4 linked regions of the Oryza sativa Japonica Group genome follow. The main gene of each other region encodes a partner of the protein of the gene in region 3 in a complex. Links are inferred from orthologs where the notes say so. Each region holds a gene or a part of one and is shown on either strand. Other genes may lie near its edges.

Region 1 (5,510 bases), on a different chromosome or scaffold from region 3:
GCCGCCGATCTGATCACACTCTGCGTGCTTGCGTGCGTACGGGCGTGTTGGATATGATGTGGCAGCTAAGAATACGAAGCTGGTGAAGAAGGTGCTGGACCACGTCGTGGAGGCGGGGTGCGGCACCTGGGTGCTGTACCCGTCCACCGGCGGGAACCTGCACCGGTTCGTCGCCGGCGTGGACGGGCCCTGCGCCTTCCTCGACGTCCTCACGCCGCCCTACTCGGAGGGCCGCCTCCGCCGGTGCACCTTCTACCGTGATTACCCCTTCCAACTCCACCGCAGTAAGCAAGCACAGCTGCAGAAATTTGTGCCATTTCTTGGCTTGATCGATCGGCGTTAATTGTTGATTTGTGCGTATACATGCAGATCACAGGTTCGCCCGCAACTTGAGCGCCCAGGAGAAGAGCCAGTTTGCATGGCTGCGACCGATCAACGCCAGCGCGCCGCCGGACCTTCGGATCGTCCCCTTGACGTACAGTGGCCCGCCGGTCGTCTAGGCCGGCCGGCTCGCCGGCGGGCTGGCCGGCCGCCGCCGGCCGCCGATCGAATGAACGGTGGCCACCGCGCGCGCGCTAGCTCGATCGTGTGTCGCTTACTGTTGACGAACGAATAAATTGGTGTGATATGATCGATGGTTTGCGACGATGATTATTAGTATTGGAGCGAGTACTCGATCCGCTTGTTATCTTAGCAGTACTTTGCGTTGCAGCAACTTGCTCTCTTCGTGTGCAGCAATAATAAACAATAATGACCATCCCCAGATGTTTTAATTACTTTGAGTGTCCTTAGTGTAATTTGTTGGTGTGAATTTCTCAATCCTGTGTGATGTGGTGCTCATGCGTATGAAGTGATTGTCAGGTTGTGTATGCAAAGAGTTTACTGAGGCTGAGGACGAACTTATGCAGATCAAGACAGAATATTATGCTCTGCAAATGCAGTGCACAAGGATACTACAATTAATTTGGTTGGGAGTATATGCGATGTACAGCCAGCATGTGCAAACCAGCAAGCAACGCTCACCGCGAGAGTGGCATGGTGACAGCGACGAACTGATCGAGACTTAATAGTATCACTAGTGCAGAAGCAACGGCAACATATCGATCGTAGTACTACTAATTACTACCAGGACACGTGTAATCACTACCCCAGATGCAACAAGAGAAGGGTGGCGTTTCTTCCCAGTAGCCACATTTTCCCTTTGTCTAACTTATGAATCAAGTATGCACTAACACTACAGTCCATAAATCCCAAGTGTTCCTTACCTGTAAAACTGAAACACCCTGCTCAAAGCCAAGCAACTAACTGAGTTTCTAAGCAGCATAAAAACCGAAGCAAGCAATTAACCCATAATTAATTAATTATTAATTATTATAAATTTGATAAGTTGGTCCATTTGAATCCTTTAGAAAACTTCTATATTTTTTTTTAAAAAAACACTTTTTAACAGTTTGAGAAATGTTCTAACGAAAAACGAGAAAAGTTGAAGTTTAGAGTTAGAGTCTAGAACAAAGCATAATCATCTTACTTTCATCCCCTTCTCATCATGTGTTTCTCATAGGTGTGTAACTATATAGGATCCAATACATTCTTCCCAATTTATAATTATATATGGTTTAGCCCATGTTTTATTCTCAATTCACTCATCCAGTCAATTCCTAATTATATGGTTTAGTCCGTTGCATGTTACTATAAGAAAGGAAAAGAAACTATTATAAAAGGAACTATTGTAAAGCTTCGACTCCAGGTATTCCTAGTCTCCTGGTAGCTGTGGAAGGAACGAAACTCCAGGGTTTTCGACTCTGCGCTCGCTTCGGTCGCAGTGGTTCTGGAGTCCATCCGCTCGGAGGGCCAGCTGTGGTCTTTAGTCGGCGTTGCTTTTTTTGGGGATTTATTGGGAGTGTAGCGTGGCTTTGCCCCCTCCCGCTGTTTGGAATTACGTTTTTAACCGTCGTAGTAGTTCCTAGCTTCAAGTCCCCCCTTTAGGCATAAGCCAATCTGGCTGATTGCTTTGTGTAACAAAAACTCTTTTCCTACTAATATATTGACGTGCAATTCTTTTGCGCGTTCGAAAAAAAAAACTATTGTAAAGCACATGCATATAATAGTTAAAAAAACCTTGCAAAATAGTACTAGTACATACTACTAGTAGTTTAAAAGAGAGAGAGAGAGAAAGGATGATTGCTCACACTGACTTGTGGGCCACCTCCACCTCTTAACATCCGTACTTAACTCGCAGGCCCCCTCCCTTCTAAAATCCTCGCTCGTTAATCGTTATCCAGACTCCGCGACGGCGAGCCGGCAAGGCGAGCACCGCAGTTGACGACGCCTCTCCACTCCGCTCCCCTCCCCTCCCCTCCCCTCGTCTCGCTACCGCCGCAATGGCGGCCACCGCCGCCTACCTCCCGCTCCGTGCCCAGGCGCAGGTGGGCCTGGCTCCGCTCCGGCCGTCGGGCTCGGCCGCTGCTGGGGCGCGGTTGCCCGGCCGGACGGCGCGGCGCCGGCTTGCGGCGAGAGGCGGGCCGGAGGCTGCCGGTATCCGCGCGGAGGCTGTCCCTGGTGGTGGAGGGGTCGCGCGGAGGGCGGCCATGGTGCCCCCGTATAATGTTCTAATCACCGGTTCCACGAAAGGTGTTGTTGAGTTCTCCCCCCCTCGTCGTCGTGTTGCTTCGCATGCTTGATCTTGCTTACAAGAAAGAAGTAGGATGTCTGTGGATGCTTTTTGTTGGGATGCAATTTAGTAGGAGCATATAGGAACTGGTGGTGATCGATATTTCTGAAATTCTGAATGCTTGTGTTGGAAATAATTCAGATGGTCAGGGTGTGGTGTGGTGGCGATGTTGTTTTTTCGTGCCTTATGTAGCCGAGAAGAGAGCAACACCAATTTGGAAGTAGGGGTGGAAGTGGGTAGTGCCGCTACCAGCATAAGAACCTGCTTAATTAGTTCATTTCCTACTTTCTAGTACACAATTTAGAAGACAAAATGAACTAGAACATCAGTGCATTCGGCATTGACCTTTTAATCAAACAATGCAAATCAGCTTGAAACTGTGTGGAGCAATTGCTTTGATACTGTATTGTGGTAAAAAAATATTTAAATCCTGACATATTAGATCTTTTGGTCAATGGTGGTAGAGGTATATCTCCTAAACGCTTCCTTTGTGGAAGCTTGTTTCAAAAACCTTTGTAGTACAACTCAATGACCCTTGTTTGCTCTTAAACAGGTATAGGATATGCTCTGGCAAAGGAATTTTTGAAGGCTGGCGATAATGTTGTAATCTGCTCAAGATCAGGTACAGAAATGATTTTGTGCTTTCAATAGGTAGCGCTAGTTTTAGTAATTATTTTTGAGTGATGACATAAATAAAATTGGATAAATTATCGAGCCTAAGATGCATTGCAAATTGATTTGCATGGTCAAGTCTCGTTTACCTGTTTCTTTATTTTCCTCTCTTCTCATTTGGATGATCCATTGACCTAACACTAAAATATGCACTATCCAGCTTTTGTCATTTGATGCTCATTATCGCTCATTAGGTGCTCTATATAGGGGTCATCTGCTTGATATGACTGACCTGTTAAATTGATCTTTCATGAAATTTTAAAATGAATAAACAAATGGATTGCTAGGATTTTCTTGAGCCCACTTTTAGTGAGAGAATGAAAAAAAAAAAAGCAAACAAGTTACAGTTTAGCCTTTCCTTGACATGCAGTCTATCCTCTACAGCTGAAAGGGTAGAATCTGCGGTGACTGACTTGAAAAAGGAATTTGGAGAGCAACATGTGTGGGTACCTACTTCCTACTGCTGAGCTACTTGATACTTTTACTGCCATTGGAGTCTCCACTTATAATTATGTTTGTTGAAAATTTTACAGTGCAATAATACTTATGCAACTGAACTGCTTCTATTTGTATTATTGCAGGGAATTGTCTGTGATGTTAGGGAAGGAAAGGATGTAAAGGCACTAGTTGATTTTGCACGTGACAAGATGAAGTATATTGATATTTGGGTACATAATCACCCCATCATCATCAAATATCTGCACATGAACTTACTCATGTTTATATTCTTTTCATATGTACAAATATGAAAATCACTGGCTATAAAGTTATGCTGATTCTCACTACATACTCATGAGTGTTCGAAATTTCTCAGCTACCCTTTTTGAATATTTAAACTTCAGTAATTTAATTGAAGCACTCAGTTATGTAGTGTTGAATCTTTTTGGGTAAAATCTAGAACCATAAGAAGGCAGGATTTTCTCCTTATCTTTGTGTTCCTTTGGCACAGATCAACAATGCTGGATCAAATGCATATAGTTACAAACCGTTGGTCGAGACCTCCGACGAGGCTCTCATGTAATTTTCATGCTGTCTTTTTATTTATGGCTTGACCAAATACATTCAATTGTGCTTTCAAGCTATATTCAAACTCCACTCTTTCTTTGATTTAATAGGGAAGTGATCACAACTAACACTCTTGGATTAATGATATGTTGTCGTGAGGTATTTCTTTCAACTCATACTAGCTTTCTGAATTTCATTACAACAACTGTGAAGATTCATTTTCCAAATATTCATCTTCTTGCCATCTTGCCATCTTAGGCAATAAATATGATGAGAAACCAACCTCGAGGTGGCCACATATTTAACATCGATGGTGCTGGTTCTGATGGAAGGCCAACCCCAAGGTATGCATTTCCATTTGTTCTGTTCTGTAGTAAAATGTAGACACTCAATGTGCAATTCAATCATTATATCATTATGTTTGAATTCTCATACAGTATGAAGCTATGAAATTTCACATCATGTATTATGTCCTTTTAGTTTATTGCTAATTGCTAATAGGAGAGTACCTATGATTCCACATAACTGTGCCTCATAAGTTTCTGTGCTGAATTTGGCTTCCATATAGACATATACTGTACTGTTATCAGTAGTTTCAACCAAATGAAAAAATTACACCACTGCGGTGGCCCCCGCGCGCGCGCGTTGGGGGGTTGGGGGTATCAAGCGATATTAAATATAATTATATTTTGGTAACTAGTGCTTTTGTGGTTACACCAGGATACTACTTAATAACTTAATATCCTTTCAGAAATAGACACTGATTATTATTGATAATGACTAGGTTTGCTGCATATGGTGCAACGAAGAGAAGTGTGGTGCACCTTACAAAATCTCTGCAGGTAAAGGTTATGTGAGGATATAACCTCATATCATTTTGTTTTGATCAGAACATATCCAGTGTAGCATTTATTCATAGTCCACTATTTGTGGCATTGTAACTTCATATAAATTGTTAACTGCATTGTGACATCACAACTATGATGCAATATTGATTACCACCATTTCTCAGTATCCAGAACAATAAAGCTGTGATTATCAAATAGTTACTCAATACTCATTAATAATTTGAAAAAAAAAACATAAAGCTGTAATCATCCATATAATCCTTGGACTTGAGTCTTGAGGTTCAGACCCTTCCCTTCTTAAATGGAACGATTTT
Region 2 (5,359 bases), on a different chromosome or scaffold from region 3:
GCAGCCCTGAATCAGTCCTTCAGACCATCAACGAGCTTGAAGAGAACATACAGGAGGGCTTGTCAGTTGCGAAAAAGAAACAGAGAGAAATTTTGCTACATGCCAAGGTTGTTGGTACATCATGTGATGTTTGTAAACCAGAAGATGTGAAAAAGTTGGTGAACTTTGCCAAGGATGAGCTTGGATCAATTGATATTTGGGTAAATAATTTACTTTTACATATCTATCCCCATCATTTATTCTGCATTATTTCACGGTAGGGTACTCAGTTGGATACTTGGATTGAGTGCACAAGTTTTTGTACTTATAACCTTTTTATTTTGTTCTGTACTGTGGCATCGCAGAATGTACTTAACATGTGCTATTCTTCTTATTCTTATGTATAGATAAATAACGCTGGCACAAACAAAGGTTTTAGGCCACTGGTAAACTTTTCAGATGAAGATATTTCTCAGGTACGTTAATTATCTTCGGAAAATCAGAGTCTTTTCCATTCTAATAGAGTTCATAGAACTATATTCGTCATGCAACCTGACTTAGTTATTTCATCTTATTTTTCTTTCTGCTTAGCCTAAACAACATTATTGTGTCCTTTTCTGTTTGCAGATTGTCTCAACAAACCTAGTTGGCTCTTTACTGTGCACCAGAGAAGCCATGAATGTCATGCAACACCAACAAAAGGGAGGTCACGTATTTAACATGGATGGAGCAGGTTCTGGAGGATCAAGTACACCATTAACAGCTGTGTAAGTACCTAATGATTTCAAATTTTTAATGCTCCACTGTTCGTGTAGCTCTTATACTGGACAGGGATATTGTCTTGTGGTTTCTTCATTGGCTAAAAACGAGTATAATTGTATTGATGTTGTTACTTGTGCAGTGAAACTAAAACTGATACTATTTTGCAAACTTGCAGTTATGGTTCAACTAAGTGTGGCCTTAGACAGTTTCAAGCATCACTTCTGAAGGAAAGCAGAAGATCAAAAGTTGGTGTACACACTGCTTCTCCTGGAATGGTCCTTACGGACCTCCTTTTGAGGTAACCTCTGAAGTTATTTAGATGCAATTATTGATGATTTGCTTGTTTAGTTCATTCTGAACTTCAATATATTTATTGCTTGGTGCACATGTTGTCCAAACTCCAAACCACACTTTGTGTGATGATAGTAAAACAAGATAAGACTTCAAGTGCATAAGAAGTTTTCAGTAGGATCTTTATGGAACCACACATATTGGTTAATCAGAATTTCACGCTATCTTCATTTTGAATTTATTTTAGTTAATCAACAATCAGAATGTCTCCTTTGTTGAATGGGGAAGAGTCAAAATTTTGAGATACCTCGCTGCCCAAATCTTCTTTGTTTCAATCTCTTCTTTCTAGGATTTGATTTGTGGCAACTATTTCTGTAGAATCAGCTTCACATTAATTATTAAGTTGCTTTTGCTACTACACTTCTAGCTCTGGCTTTTCCTATCTGCTATAATCCCGATGACACGGTAAACTGGGTGCGTGGCGGTTAATCAGAACCTGAAAGAATTAATGTTCCATTCTTGTGCAAATACTCTGCCTTGTAAATCCAGTTCAAAGTTGTGATGTTGCACATACTTTATACTTGTAAGGCTTCATAGTTTCTGTCAATATATAAATAACTTGTGAGATAACTTCCAGATATAATTATTACAAATGACTAATGCACTGGAAAGTTCTAACATATTAATATTTTTTATTGGTAATACTATATACGGAGAATAATATGTTTTTTAACTTCAATTGATGGTGCATGCCACTTCTTCCATATTTATCTGGTCAGCTCTTCTGTTGCCACATGCCCAACTATGCAGACTGCTTTAGTTAACTTATAATCCTTCTATCTTTTGCAGCGGTTCTTCTCTGAGAAATAAACAGATGTTCAATTTAATATGTGAGCTTCCAGAAACAGTTGCAAGGACATTGGTTCCGAGGATGCGAGTTGTGAAAGGAAGTGGAAAGGCGATAAACTACTTGACACCACCAAGGATCTTGCTTGCCTTGGTTACTGCATGGGTTCGCCGAGGCCGATGGTTTGATGAAGAGGTATGTTTCTTCTCTATGCAGCTAGTACTTTTCAGCTTTACCTTTTATTTCAGCAATGCCAGTATATGAAATATGCTGAATTCCTGCAGAAGCCATGCGTGCAAACATGATTGTTGTTTTCATTATTATGCATCTTGCATGCACTTTTCATGATATTGAACCTCAAGACTTTTGAGCTATTATGCTTCTGAAATAGTGAAATATACATTTCTAGAGAAAGAGTACCAAGCTCTTCTACCGTTGCACCAAATGTATATGAAACTCATTGTTGAATATAAAGAACAATGGACATAGACTATTCAAATTATGCCTGTGGTGATTTTCTTGTAAATTATGCTAAATAAGCAGTATTCGTTCTAAGACTGGATCAACCAGGCGAGTCAGATCATAATGAAGCTTGAGACCAGTGTCCAGTTCTGTCAGGTCTCTACATAAGTAAGAGCCATAAATAGGGTCTGTCTTGATGGTTCAGTTTCCAGGTTCATTATGACCAGCTCAGTCCATCACCTTTACTGCTAGTTGGCCAGAGCTCTTCTGGAAGGCCTTAGGCTGGTCCTCCCCTCAATGGCGGCTTCAAACACCTGGTTCCACCATGGCTTAGCTCGGTCCAACAGTCTCAGTGCTATTGTTTGTACTGCATGTTAAATATGACATAGTTAATTCTCACATGTATTGCTGGATCTCACCTAGTCCACATGAAATCCAGCAACAGATTTAACTGGAGAGAATGATAGGGGTTTTAAAAAGCAACTGCACCCGTCAAATGATTGCACTCTAGTAATATTTTGGGGCTGAAATGGGCACAAGTATACATATTGACGTTTTTTTTGGTATCTCACTGGTTTATTGGCTGTGATTTTGGGAAAGAAAATCACCTGCAAATTTTGGTACCGTCGAAGCTTCTCACCATTAGATTGACAATTATTAATGGAAAAACTGAATGAACACATGTATTATTTTCGCAAGATATTTAGGAAACATGACATTTGAGAAAAAAAAATGCTGAGAAGTGGGTAATAATTTAATTATAACGTTTGTGTTCCTTCAGAATCTTTCACAATATAACTGAAGAAAAGTGCTGTATACATCAGTGTCTTTTGTGATGGACAATGCTCCAATCATCCTATGTGCAAGGTTGAAAATCAAACAGATGAAGTAAAAGAATATTATATTCTTACAAATGAGAGATCAGCATACCAAGCGACTTTATGCATACTTCACAGTTCATAATACTTTCAGTCTGATGATTAATTCATGTGAATGTGTGACTGATCATAAGCACATTGCAGGGAAGAGCAGTATATGCAGCAGAGGCTGATAGAATCCGTAATTGGGCTGAAAGTCGAGCACGCTTCTCTTTCACAGATGCCATGGAGATGTACACAGAAAACACATGGGTTTCTGTGTTCTCGCTCTCTGTCGTCTGCGCATTCATAATTCTTTCCAGCTCAGGTGGACCTCTTCCAGGCACATGATCCCAGGAGTTGCCAAACTAGATGGCTACACACACCATTTTTCTTCAGTACGGGGATTCTATTATGTACTGATATATGACACACGAAACTTATGAAGGGGGGAAATTGAACCCAGAAAGCTTACTGCGTACATACGCCCAACGGTGAGAAGCATCAGCTGCCACTCACCATTTAAGGTCAAGCTAACCATGTGCTCAGTAAAAATGGGTAAATAGCATTTGTTGTGTGGGCATTCCACTGTTTGTAAGCTGACTTGTAAAAACGTGTATCTGAGCTAAACTGAGCACGAACAGATTCGATGGACAATGTTATCTGCTGTACATGCATGTAGTAATGTAGTTTTGATGACTGTAATTCTCTGGTCGTCGCTTCCAGTTGCACGGTTGCACCGTATGTTGCAACCACCAATAGAACTGAAAGTAAGTGAGAGTAATCAAGCCAGCATCTGCTATGTATATATATGACTCATCAGTCTGTTATATATCACAAGGAAAGCTTCTTCAAAGCTAAAAGCAAAGCTATCAGTAAGACAGTAATCCTGTGTTTTTGTCCATTTGAATTCTTGATCACAACAGGGGAGATTCAGAAGTTGCATTAAGGTATACTACTACTATCATTTATGCAGTTTGTTGCACCTGCAGCCTTGCAGAGTGATGATTCTTCTTGATGGGGAAGCAGGACGTTCACTTCACCTCGTACAAACAATGTACGGATTTCTGTGTGCGAGCCATTGTGAGCAAGGGGCTTTCTTTTCTTCCAAAAGTAAAATACAGGCTAGTGCTTTTTTCATGAAAAATATCTGATGGTGAGTGGAGAGTGCACACGCTGATGAGCAGCCGAGCCGGAGCATGCGTTGGCAACTTTTCTGAACTACAAGCTGGAGACGACGTGAGGCTTCTTTCCGAGAGTTGATAGCAGCGTGCACTTCCGAAGTTGGGTGTCGATTTCTCCCTTTTTTTCTGCTGAGCAATGGCACCTTCCATTAGTTGGAGGGTGGAAGCTTCCTTCTTGAGTCCGAGGCCCCAATGTCACCAATCCTGTCTCTTCTGCATTGTTCGTTGGGAGTATAAGACAATTTAGGGGCGGAGCTAAAACGAAATAGAGAGATGTACCATTCACTTGCTTTACTCTACTTTAAATCAAGTTTAAGCTAATATGAGTATTTGAGTTTGGATTAAGGAGGTACATATATAGTAAAAATAGAAAAACTATAGCTAAAAAAATTTTCTTGGCCAGGTTTCTGGGCACCCCTCTCTCCTACCTAGCTCTGCCCCTAAGTGCATTGCCCGTTCTTCTCTACTAGTCAAGTTTTAGGTTGAACTTTTTTTTTAGGGGATAGTTTTAGGTTGAACTGATCTATCCATATATGCCCTTTAATTTTCCATCAGCTTAAGCACTGGGGTTAAAATAAAATATGCATGCAAACTTTGCCTTACTAACACGCATTTACTTGCAATTGCTTAGCTGATTGAAATCTCACTAAATCTGCTGCTACTTTGATTGGATTAACCAACTACAGACAAGTTGACTGCCCTGGCCGGGCAGTGAACATGGCTGGTACAGTAGTACTCCTCTTGGACCTCTGATTGCAGCTTGCTACCAGCAGCAGCCACGGCGGCGTTTGTTTTGCATGTCAATGTTTAGAGGGTGTTTGGTTGCGAGCCACACTGCTGTTTACTACATCTAAGATTAGATAGATTTAATCCCATTAGCAGCTGTTTGTTGTAGCCATAGCTATGACAAGATTCTTTTCTAATAAACTGAGTCTCACGTGTCATTGACTTAGAAAAATGTAACAAGATTCTCTTAG
Region 3 (4,335 bases):
ATATGGGTGATTACGGCAGATATCTTTTGCCTTGGACATGAACTTGGAGTCATTTTTTCCAGAGCATTTTTACCTCATCCCCTTTCTAGGCAATTCGAATTTAGTTTGGTTTCAAAGGAATCAGAACTAATGTTGTTCTATTCAACCTACAAGATCAAATTTTACTTAATGTCATTCCAGTAGTGACTCTAAAGGCAAAACAAAGTCCAATTTAGGCTATTAGATTCTACAATCAAGACCATAATGATATGATGACAATATGACATGATAGTTGGTCCATACTCTATCTTCCTGACTAACTCTGTCAAAACCTCAGTTTCATGCTATCCTTTGACAGGCAGCTGGTGTGAAGCGTCTTCTCTTCTGTGGTGTGGGTTGTCAAGTGCAAGGTGTTTACCTTGCCCAAACATTCTTCTATTTCTAGTGGTGACAATGTGTTGTATCTCATAATTATCCAATGTGGCAACAGCTTTGAGATCAGTTGAGAAGTATCTTGGTTTGGAAAAGCTTTATGTGCTCGGGACAAACTGTGGTAACTACTAACTGATAACTGAATTAGTTGATCTTGAAATTTGTAATTACTGTGTTGCACGGAGGATATATTTGAACGTTGGCTTACAGTAAATATTCACAGTGGACAATGGTACCCGTGAAGGACTTGACAAGTTTTTGAAGGCTGCAAGCAGTGAACCAGAGACTGTACTGCATTATGAATTTATGCAGGACTACAAGGTAAAACTTTGGAATAATTAGTACTCTATTTTCTCTTATTTTTGACATACTGTTTAGAAGTCAACAGTTCAACAGGCAGTTTTAGGACATAGAGAAAAACTTATTGAATCAACAATATAACCATGTTGTTGCTTCCAAAATTTTGATTCATGACTGTTGTATAACTCAGCGTATTTGCAGGTTCACTTAAAGCACTTGGATGGACATATTGAAGAGGCAAAGCTTATTTTTCTTTTTTCTTTTCTTGTGCATCACTGATTCTTTTAAAATAATCATTTACATCACTGATTCTTCTAAAATAATCATTTACATCACTGATTCTTCTAAAATAATCATTTACTACCTTAAATCAGGTTCCCTATTTTTGCCTGCCAGCAAAGGACCTTGTTGATGTTATTGCCCCATCATGCTACAGGTAATATTTGCCCGTCATATAATTGTGTTGCCAGATTTTCTCCAGAATTTCCAGTCATCATTCACAACGAGCTTATGTTCTTACTACTACCATCCTGCAGCTGCTTTGACTACACAAATGGCTTGGCTGTAAGGTTTCCATCGTTTTAAAGTTGAATATTTGTACTCTTGCTATAGCAGATATTCATATTTTGGAAAGGAACCATCTGGTATCTGGCTGTATTATTCCTTCTGCTCATTGTCACTTCCTAGTACTTAGTTGTGCTCGTAGGGTTGGTGTTTATTTTCGTTGGTCTGATCAAATCTGAATGGCCATTATATGTCCCTTCTATACAGTTGCCCTTCCATTCTCGGTTTGCTCCCAGAGATAATTAATATACGTTTGATAAAGAAGTGCAGGATTTAGTGGTGGGCTATATGGGTGTACCAAAGTACCCTGGAGTTTCCATGACACAGCACCCTCAATACATTACAGTCAGGTAGAGTGATGGGGATGCTGGAGCATGGCAATTGATTGTAGCCAGTTTCTGTTGAGCAGCGAATTGATTTTTTTTTCGATCATAATGGTATTATGGCATTCCTTTAGGAATGATCGTGGAAGGGAGATGCTCAGCCTAGTAGAGGGCCTCCTGGAGAGTACACCTACAGTTAGCAGTGTATGCGTCGATTCACGAACTATCAGAGACTTCTTTTTTTCAATGTAACTTAGATGAAGACTATGCTAGTACATATATCTGAACATGAAGATTAATTGTGCCTTTCTCTTTAATTTTCAGGGCGTCAGGCAACCATTTGTTATCGAGACGGTTAAAGCTGATGATGAAGCAAAACAGGGTATGAAGTGAGCTATTAGATGTTTATTCCCGGGTTTTCTACATTTATGAGATTGAATTCTATACTAAGATACTCCTAAACAGTCACCTAAGCTTGAAAATTTTGCAGGGAGAGGACCTTCTCAGCCAGCTCCGACATTTGTCGGCAATGTTATAGCCTTCCTACTGAATCTGGTTAGTATTGCTCGACCATATTTCGCATACATAAGATGGATCGAACACATGTATATAGTAAAAATACTTCTTTTGGTTTGATTATTCAGATTGGGCCGAAGGGGCTAGAGTTTGCTCGCTACTCTCTGGATTATCACACGATAAGGAATTACCTCCATGTGAATCGGGCATGGGGCAAGCAAAGGTATATATATATTCTTGATTTTGTAGGTTTAATCTTGATGTGAATATACAATTAACCTGAGATGGTTTACTCAACTGGTTGTTGACATGAACACAGAGCGGAGCAGCACATTCCTTCCTATGCCAAGAAGATTGTGGAGGCGTACGACAAGGACGGACGCATCGAGTCGATGCTCCAGTAGCATGGGACGCTAGTCTGCATTCTAGATTATTATTATTTTTCCTCATATCGACTTGTTCATTCTAGTCAGTATATCCCGTAGTTATGTACATTCCTGAGCACACAGCCAGGGTTTAGGGGAATTTCCTCTTTACTAATTTTTTACATGTCTTATCTGACTGTCTTCCTGGGAGAATCTCCCGATAAAACAGTCGGGGGCTAGGGGAACTATACATATTACGTGTACATTGATCAAATATGAAATTTCTTGTATAGAATTGGAAAATGGTAAGTATTCTTGACCAGCCTTGCCTGACATGCTATATATAGTTCAAAAAATTAAAAATTATACTAGTCAGATGGGGTAATAGACAACAGATAACCTTATTCTAATGAGAGGAGAAAGTAAGGTTTTGACAAGACTAGCAGTTTTTACACACATTCATTTAAATATGTTTACATATTCATTTAAATCAGTTGCATACATTGATAATCGGCCTATTAAGTTGCTCGAGGTGATAAGAAATGGGTGCAATATATAGTTGTTTTTAGCACTAATAGATGATGAGCTTAATCCATGGTGTTTCCTCGGAGTCTCGGAGATGAGAGGGGTTGATATTCTGGTGCTTCTACTTTTTACTGGAGCTACATGGAAGGTTGATGACTAATTGACTATGCACTTTCAATTAGAGCTGTTATCCAGATGGACACGGTAGATCGCGCGCGCTAGCGACATGGACACGGCTAGATCGCGCGCTAGCGGCATATCGCTAACCAGCGACGCCCTTCTCTTTCAAAAACATTACTAGTACACTCAACAATACATGTCTTTTTTTTTTCTTCCTAGAGAATTTTCTCCTAAATTACTTATCCGATCTATAATCCGATTACATTGTTATGATCGTTGCAATTAAATCTTTACAACAAGATCTTACACGATTATATTCTGATAAAAAAATATCTATGTTGTAAATTACTTTTATTATATATGTAAGTTACTTTTGTCCTATACATAAATTACTTTTAGATTTAAGCTCTTTAATAACTTATATATTTTAAATCACGTATTATTTTCATGATCTATTTACATCATTGTAATCTACATAAAATATGAGACAAAACAAGATCCATGTTGAATATATTCAAACATTTCATTAATTTAAAAGTAATTTATTTAAATTGTAGTAGTAACTTAGCTATGCAATAGATGTAACTTAACTATGCAATAGAAGTAAGTTAGCACAAAATAGAAGTAAGTTGTTACAACATTATAAGTAAATTCGAGAGAAAAATATTTTGTATCTAAAAATTAAATTTAAAGTCCATAAATTATAGAATTGACTAAAAACTATAATAAACATAATCGACTTAAAACATTATGAATATATAAAAAGTAATTTATATATATGATAAAAGTAACTTAAGTATATGATAAAAGTAACTTAACTATATAATAAAAAGTAATTTACAAGTATAAATATTTTTTCATCGTAGTATAATCATGTAAGATCTAGTTTTGAAGATTTAATTGCAACGAACACAATGGTGTAATCGGATTATAGATCGGATAAGTAATTTAAGAGAAAACTTTGTAAGGGGAAAAAAAATACATGCATGTGTAATAGAAAAAAAAGGCATGCATGTGCGTTGGCTTCTCCACGGCTTCTATGGTTGGCGTCGCGCGATAAGACAATATCGGCTTCTATTGTTGGCGTCGCGCGATAAGACAATATCGAGATGCCTCACTGATTAGTTTTTGCGTATCTGGACGGTGACTTCAGCAACTCGAGCCGTCAATTCTCTGCTCTGTTACAAGTCAACTATTAGGAGCTACTACTC
Region 4 (5,212 bases), on a different chromosome or scaffold from region 3:
TTGGGAACCACCGCCGTTGTCAATCTTCTCCCATCCGTGGCGGGAGGGCTCAGGAGATGCCAACGCTGTCGTCTTCAACCCCATCCACGGTGGGAGGGCTTGGGAGCCACTGTCGTCATCGACCTTATCCCATCCGCAGTGGGAGGGCTCGGTCGCCGCCGTCGATGTCCCTTGTAGCAGTCGTAGAAGATGGAGGAAGAGATAGGGAATAAAGAAGAGGGAGGATGGAGAAAGATGGAACTGATATGTGGGTCTAACGCCTAGGGGTCTGACGGGAAATGCAACGGTGATAGTGTAGTTCTAACTCCTCAAATTTCAGTGGCACGTAACCAATATCATGAATAGTAGTGGCATTTATCCGAAATGGCATATTTATAGTTGGCGTGGATCCTATTAACCTTTTAAACGTTTAGTGATAAGTATTCGCAGAAACTAAAAAGTGATCAAAATAAATGAAAAGGGAGTTGTGAACTCTCTAGTTCTCATATATAAATAAAAAACGAATTCATTCAGTGATTTAGAGACAATGACAAATCATTTGTTGGTTGCGGATCATCTCACTCAACCACACTTCAGTGATTGAACATGGGTCGGGGCCCCTATTTGACAAGGGAACTGAACCCATTTCATTGACCTTCGAACCGCTCTTGCCCTCCCCTTTCACTTCCATAGTGGTCTTCTTTGGCCGGCCCACTCATTTCACTCTCAAGCTCTCTGAGAAGATTCAAGATGTTTCGAATTCTCCTTCAGTAATATGGCCCCCACAATAATTAGAGGGGGGAAAAAGGAAAATGAAGAGCTAGTGGACTGAGGAAGAAAGCTAGTGTGCAGCATCTGGCCTTTTGTGAGCTTTGGGCCTTGGCCCATGGAGCGATAAGCAGCAACAGCAGTGAGTGATCAGCAGTAGCAGATGGCCTCAAGTGTATTAAGGTTTAGGTGGTGTGTTTAATCTCCTGAAGATAAATATAAAGATGAAGATTAAGTGTTTCACGCAAAACGATGTAGTAATAATATATGATTAATTAAGTTTTAATTATTACAAACTTGAAAAATGGATTAATATGATATTTTAGAACAACTTTCATATAAAAAGTTTTCCCACGAAACGTATCGTTTAGCAGTTTGAAAAACGTGTCACGAGTATCCAAAAGTTTATCCAACTTTTATTGGAGAAAAGAATAGGGCATAAGTATCACCTCGGTTCCCAAGCTTATGCGCTACATGGTGAGCTGCCCAGTCATTAGCATGGTACTTCCTCCGTTTTATATTATAAGATTTTCTAACATTACCCACATTCATATATATGTTAATAAATCTAGATATATATGTGTCTAGATTCATTAACATTTATATGAATATAGGGAATGCTAGAAAGTCTTATAACCTGAAACGGAGGAAGTATAAAAGAAAAAAACCAACTCATGTGGTGTTTGCGAAGGAGGGACTAAACTAGTCATTTTTGTGATTCCCAAATACCACCTCAATTGGCATTATCTCACATTTCAGTAATGCAGTGTCCGTAAAAAAAACAAGGCATTTGCAAATTGCAATAGATAATGTCTTGGAATCTGATGGATTTGTAACAGCAGCTTTCAGATCTCTCTTTCAATCATCTCCTATGTATATACTGCACTAGTTACAAAAGTAAAAGAGGGATAGTTCTACACGTTCACGGAATCCTTCTCACTCCCTCTCGCTCACATTCATCTCTCGCTCCGTTCGTCCACGCGTCGAACACCTCGCCGTGATCCAATGCTCCAACTCCGCTCGCCGCCGCCGGCGACCAGCTCGCCGTCCTCCGCCGTCTCCTTCCCGACCCTCGCTCCTCGCCTCCTCCCCCTCCGCCGCCGCCGCCGCGGCGCGGGTTCCCAGCTCGGGGGCAAAACGTCGAGCGCCGTGCGCGCGTCGTCGGCGGCGGCGCCGGGCGCGACGGAGCCGGAGGTGATGGTGGAGGTGGCGCACCGGGAGGTGGCGCGGGCGCTCGCGTCCCTGGCGGAGGCGCGGCTGGGCGCGCGGCTGCTCCCCTCCGCCGTGCCGCCCGACGTCGCCGAGTTCCGCAGCGGCGGCGGCGCCGGGAACGCCGTGGGCTCGCTCGACGTGCGCCGCGGCGCGCCGGGATCGACGGTAATGGCACCCCTCCTCTCACTTTTGCTCGTCAGATCGTACAGATTTACCTGTTCTGTCGATTGGAGAACATCAGAATCAGTCATATGAATTAGTGAAATGGTAGTGGTAAACTGGTAATGTCTAGAGCACCATCAGAATCAGTCATATGAATTAAGTAGTGAATCATATGAATTAACTAATTAAGTAGTGAAATGGTAGTGGTAAACTGGTAAAAACAGGCTGGCACAAACAGAGCAGAATAGATCAATGGCATGTCAAAAGACTTGGACAATTTACTGAAACTGTTTTACACTGAAAAATTGCTGCCGAACTATTTGTGATTTGCCCTATCAAGGTGAACTTGCAAACTTTTAGAAGCCAAGATCCATAATCCAACTCTTCGGAGCAAATTATGACTTTTCATTATATTGGCAATGCTCAAATTAGTTCATTTGCTTCCAATATCGAAATGGAAACAATTGGTCTGTTCTAGAGTTTGTACCTCATTCGTGATTCTTCCTATCACTCACAGATTTTGTTTCCTCTCCAAAAACAAAAAAACAAAATCACTCCAACTGAACGGACACAATTGGAGTGGCCAAAATGATCAACAGCATTCAAATTATGAAACTAATCTCACCACTTGAACACCTGAATTATGCTCCCTAGTGCTCAGTAGCTTAGCGTGGTAGAATTTCTTGAGTTCTGCAAGGAATGACAAATGGAGTTAAATTATTAATTTTTCTTGTCTACAGATTGATTTCATGCTCCAGTCCTCACTACACTGCAAAGTCCCAAATGGCGCAATCGACATTACATCTCTTCTCATCTTTCTGAACGCCTCGACAGATGCTCCGCATTTCCTCATGGAATTTATACAAGGTAGCCCAACTTCGATCGTGGTGCTTCTGGACCTTCTCCCACGGAAAGACCTTGCGCTCCATCCCGAATACATAGAGAGATACTATGAGAATACTCAGGTGGACAAACAGCGTGAGAAGGTCGAAGAATTGCCGCAGGCCCGTCCATACCGATCGCGATCCCTCTTCGTGCGCAGCACCTTCTCACTGACAGCAATACTGATGAGCATCGACTGTGGGCAAGGAGGAGAGGGTACCTTGGAAGAGATAGTGCGTGGTCAACTAGCAACAGCTGCTAGGGCACTTCTTCAAATTTGGCTTGATAGTTGTGCTGATCATACTTCAGAGATGGAAGAAGGCGAGAGAGAAAACATGATAAAGAGGGACCAAATTGTAAGGTCCAAGTCAATCGAGGTCGACCTGACTTCAAATTTGCCGAGGATGTTTGGTCCCGATGTCGCAGACCGAGTCATAGCTGAAATCCAGAAGGCCTTTGGGGTACAAGAGGCCTAGCTTTAGAACTGTGACCAGGAATTCATCTGTACATCATTCGAAAGTAATGTTAGTAGTCTTTTGTCCCTTTTGCTTGAACAATCAGATATATTGTGTGATTATAAATTTATAATTGCAAATACCATCAGATGTCATAATTTTGTCTATACAATTATACAAACCAATGTAGTGTTGGTTTTCATGCCGATTTTTTACTCTAGCCGTTTCAACCCAAATCTCGGCCTCCTCTAGAGATACATCGATGCCCTCATTAAAAGAAAGTGCCCAAAAAGATAATATAATTTATAAGTACCAGTAAACTGATTTCACGGGTGGTTTCCTCAATTTCTTAAAGAGAAAGGACAGTCAATTATTTTATTTTACAAATGTATTACTAGTTAATGGATAACTTTACATACCGTGTTTACATATTCTCATCCCATTAAAAATTTGCGATGAATCTAACTGCCTAATTTCATAGATCAACGCACCAGTTTATGACAAAATTGAAATGCTATCAATCAGAAATTCACTAACTACCAGCCATACTAATCCTGGCTCCCTACAGCTACTCGCAGCTCTAGAAGCACACATGGCACAAAACATAAACTCCAAGTTTTTTGGAGAGTTGTTTTTGCCTTCTCTTTTCGGTTGAAATACACAATTATTGTATCAAGAATGGAGAGTTCGAACGGCAAAGCCAAAAGGAAAAAATGTAAACAGAAAACAGCATCTTTTTTTTGACAACAGGCATATATTACCCGGCTTTAGAAAAAGCCCAAACGAAACAGAGTTCTTACAGAAAAACGAAACAAAAGGAAACAAAAAACTGGGGATTCCAGTTTTCCAAACCAGCTCAACAAAAGCTTGGACATCCACTAAACCTAGCCCCCTTCCAGACATTTTAACACCCACAACAAAAGACCAAATATTTTCAGAGCCCATTCCCATGAACTATCCTATATCATCAGGAAGATTATCAGTCGGCTTCAGCACTTCCAACGTCAGCATTATCTTTGCTTGAAAGACATCCAAGCTAGTACACTCCTTTTCTTTTAGCAGCACCTTCCACCTTTGCATCAAAGACAAAGACCTGTACACGACCTGCAAAGGTGATTTGATCAGTTTATTGTTAAAAACCCAATTATTTCTGGTAATCCACAAACCCCAGGTCATTCCTGCAAAAACCACCATTCCCCCCTGAAACCCCATTTTCTTGGTTACAACCTTGATACAATCCCAGAAAGAGATAGGTACATTATGCAAATTTAGAACTATAGCAATTACACTCCAAGCAAATTTAGCAATGGGACAAGTAAATAAAACATGTGTAGTGCTTTCTTCCCCTAGACAAAGCTTGCTCTGTACATGGAATCCTGTTTCTCCCTGTCATATAGAGGAAATGCATGATTTTTAGAGGTATCTTGCACCTCCACACCCCTTGGATTTCTTGATCTACCACCCCTCCAAATTTTAGCACCCTATACATAGATCTTGTGGAGAAAATTTTCTTTTTGTCATGAGGCCAAATCACCATGTCTCTCTCTCCATTTAGAGTAACCCCCTCCAGCTCCCTCTGCAGTTTATCCAACTCTAGTCTATCTTGACTGTTCAAGTTCCTTCTGAAATGTAAATCCCAATCCCCCCCATCCCACAACTCATTCACAGTGCCTTGTGTTGATAACTTGCTGAATACAGAGATGGGAAGCAGCCAAGCAGGTTTTTAAAGACACTTTGTTCAGCCACACATCCTC

Evidence for each region.
Region 1: 7-hydroxymethyl chlorophyll a reductase, chloroplastic-like (region 3) and chlorophyll(ide) b reductase NOL, chloroplastic share a complex: the UniProt entries of both Arabidopsis thaliana proteins name them as parts of the SGR1-CCE-LHCII complex. The link is inferred for Oryza sativa Japonica Group from reciprocal best matches to the Arabidopsis thaliana genes HCAR and NOL.
Region 2: 7-hydroxymethyl chlorophyll a reductase, chloroplastic-like (region 3) and probable chlorophyll(ide) b reductase NYC1, chloroplastic share a complex: the UniProt entries of both Arabidopsis thaliana proteins name them as parts of the SGR1-CCE-LHCII complex. The link is inferred for Oryza sativa Japonica Group from reciprocal best matches to the Arabidopsis thaliana genes HCAR and NYC1.
Region 4: 7-hydroxymethyl chlorophyll a reductase, chloroplastic-like (region 3) and red chlorophyll catabolite reductase 1, chloroplastic share a complex: the UniProt entries of both Arabidopsis thaliana proteins name them as parts of the SGR1-CCE-LHCII complex. The link is inferred for Oryza sativa Japonica Group from reciprocal best matches to the Arabidopsis thaliana genes HCAR and ACD2.

The regions. Positions count from the first base shown.
Region 1 is NC_089037.1:26,388,545-26,394,054, reverse strand, and holds the start of chlorophyll(ide) b reductase NOL, chloroplastic, read left to right. Parts: upstream 1-2,259; 5' UTR 2,260-2,381; coding exon 2,382-2,631; intron 2,632-3,224; coding exon 3,225-3,293; intron 3,294-3,727; coding exon 3,728-3,789; intron 3,790-3,924; coding exon 3,925-4,011; intron 4,012-4,292; coding exon 4,293-4,360; intron 4,361-4,458; coding exon 4,459-4,507; intron 4,508-4,606; coding exon 4,607-4,692; intron 4,693-5,132; coding exon 5,133-5,190; intron 5,191-5,510. Other genes in the region: plant cysteine oxidase 3, read left to right, coding at 66-284, 370-500. UniProt on the Arabidopsis thaliana protein: Required for chlorophyll b degradation. Chlorophyll b, chlorophyllide b, pheophorbide b and pheophytin b can be used as substrates. Belongs to the chlorophyll catabolic enzymes (CCEs).
Region 2 is NC_089035.1:7,037,080-7,042,438, forward strand, and holds the end of probable chlorophyll(ide) b reductase NYC1, chloroplastic, read left to right. Parts: intron 1-4; coding exon 5-200; intron 201-386; coding exon 387-455; intron 456-606; coding exon 607-746; intron 747-916; coding exon 917-1,039; intron 1,040-1,881; coding exon 1,882-2,074; intron 2,075-3,363; coding exon 3,364-3,549; 3' UTR 3,550-4,102; downstream 4,103-5,359. UniProt on the Arabidopsis thaliana protein: Involved in chlorophyll b degradation. Belongs to the chlorophyll catabolic enzymes (CCEs).
Region 3 is NC_089038.1:14,947,812-14,952,146, forward strand, and holds the end of 7-hydroxymethyl chlorophyll a reductase, chloroplastic-like, read left to right. Parts: intron 1-337; coding exon 338-389; intron 390-469; coding exon 470-532; intron 533-634; coding exon 635-732; intron 733-912; coding exon 913-948; intron 949-1,085; coding exon 1,086-1,147; intron 1,148-1,247; coding exon 1,248-1,275; intron 1,276-1,545; coding exon 1,546-1,625; intron 1,626-1,732; coding exon 1,733-1,802; intron 1,803-1,922; coding exon 1,923-1,980; intron 1,981-2,088; coding exon 2,089-2,153; intron 2,154-2,242; coding exon 2,243-2,337; intron 2,338-2,433; coding exon 2,434-2,518; 3' UTR 2,519-2,801; downstream 2,802-4,335. UniProt on the Arabidopsis thaliana protein: Probable iron-sulfur flavoprotein that converts 7-hydroxymethyl chlorophyll a to chlorophyll a using ferredoxin as a reducing equivalent. Catalyzes the reduction of a hydroxymethyl group to a methyl group. Belongs to the chlorophyll catabolic enzymes (CCEs).
Region 4 is NC_089044.1:13,536,214-13,541,425, reverse strand, and holds red chlorophyll catabolite reductase 1, chloroplastic, read left to right. Parts: upstream 1-1,652; 5' UTR 1,653-1,752; coding exon 1,753-2,124; intron 2,125-2,861; coding exon 2,862-3,479; 3' UTR 3,480-3,624; downstream 3,625-5,212. UniProt on the Arabidopsis thaliana protein: Catalyzes the key reaction of chlorophyll catabolism, porphyrin macrocycle cleavage of pheophorbide a (pheide a) to a primary fluorescent catabolite (pFCC).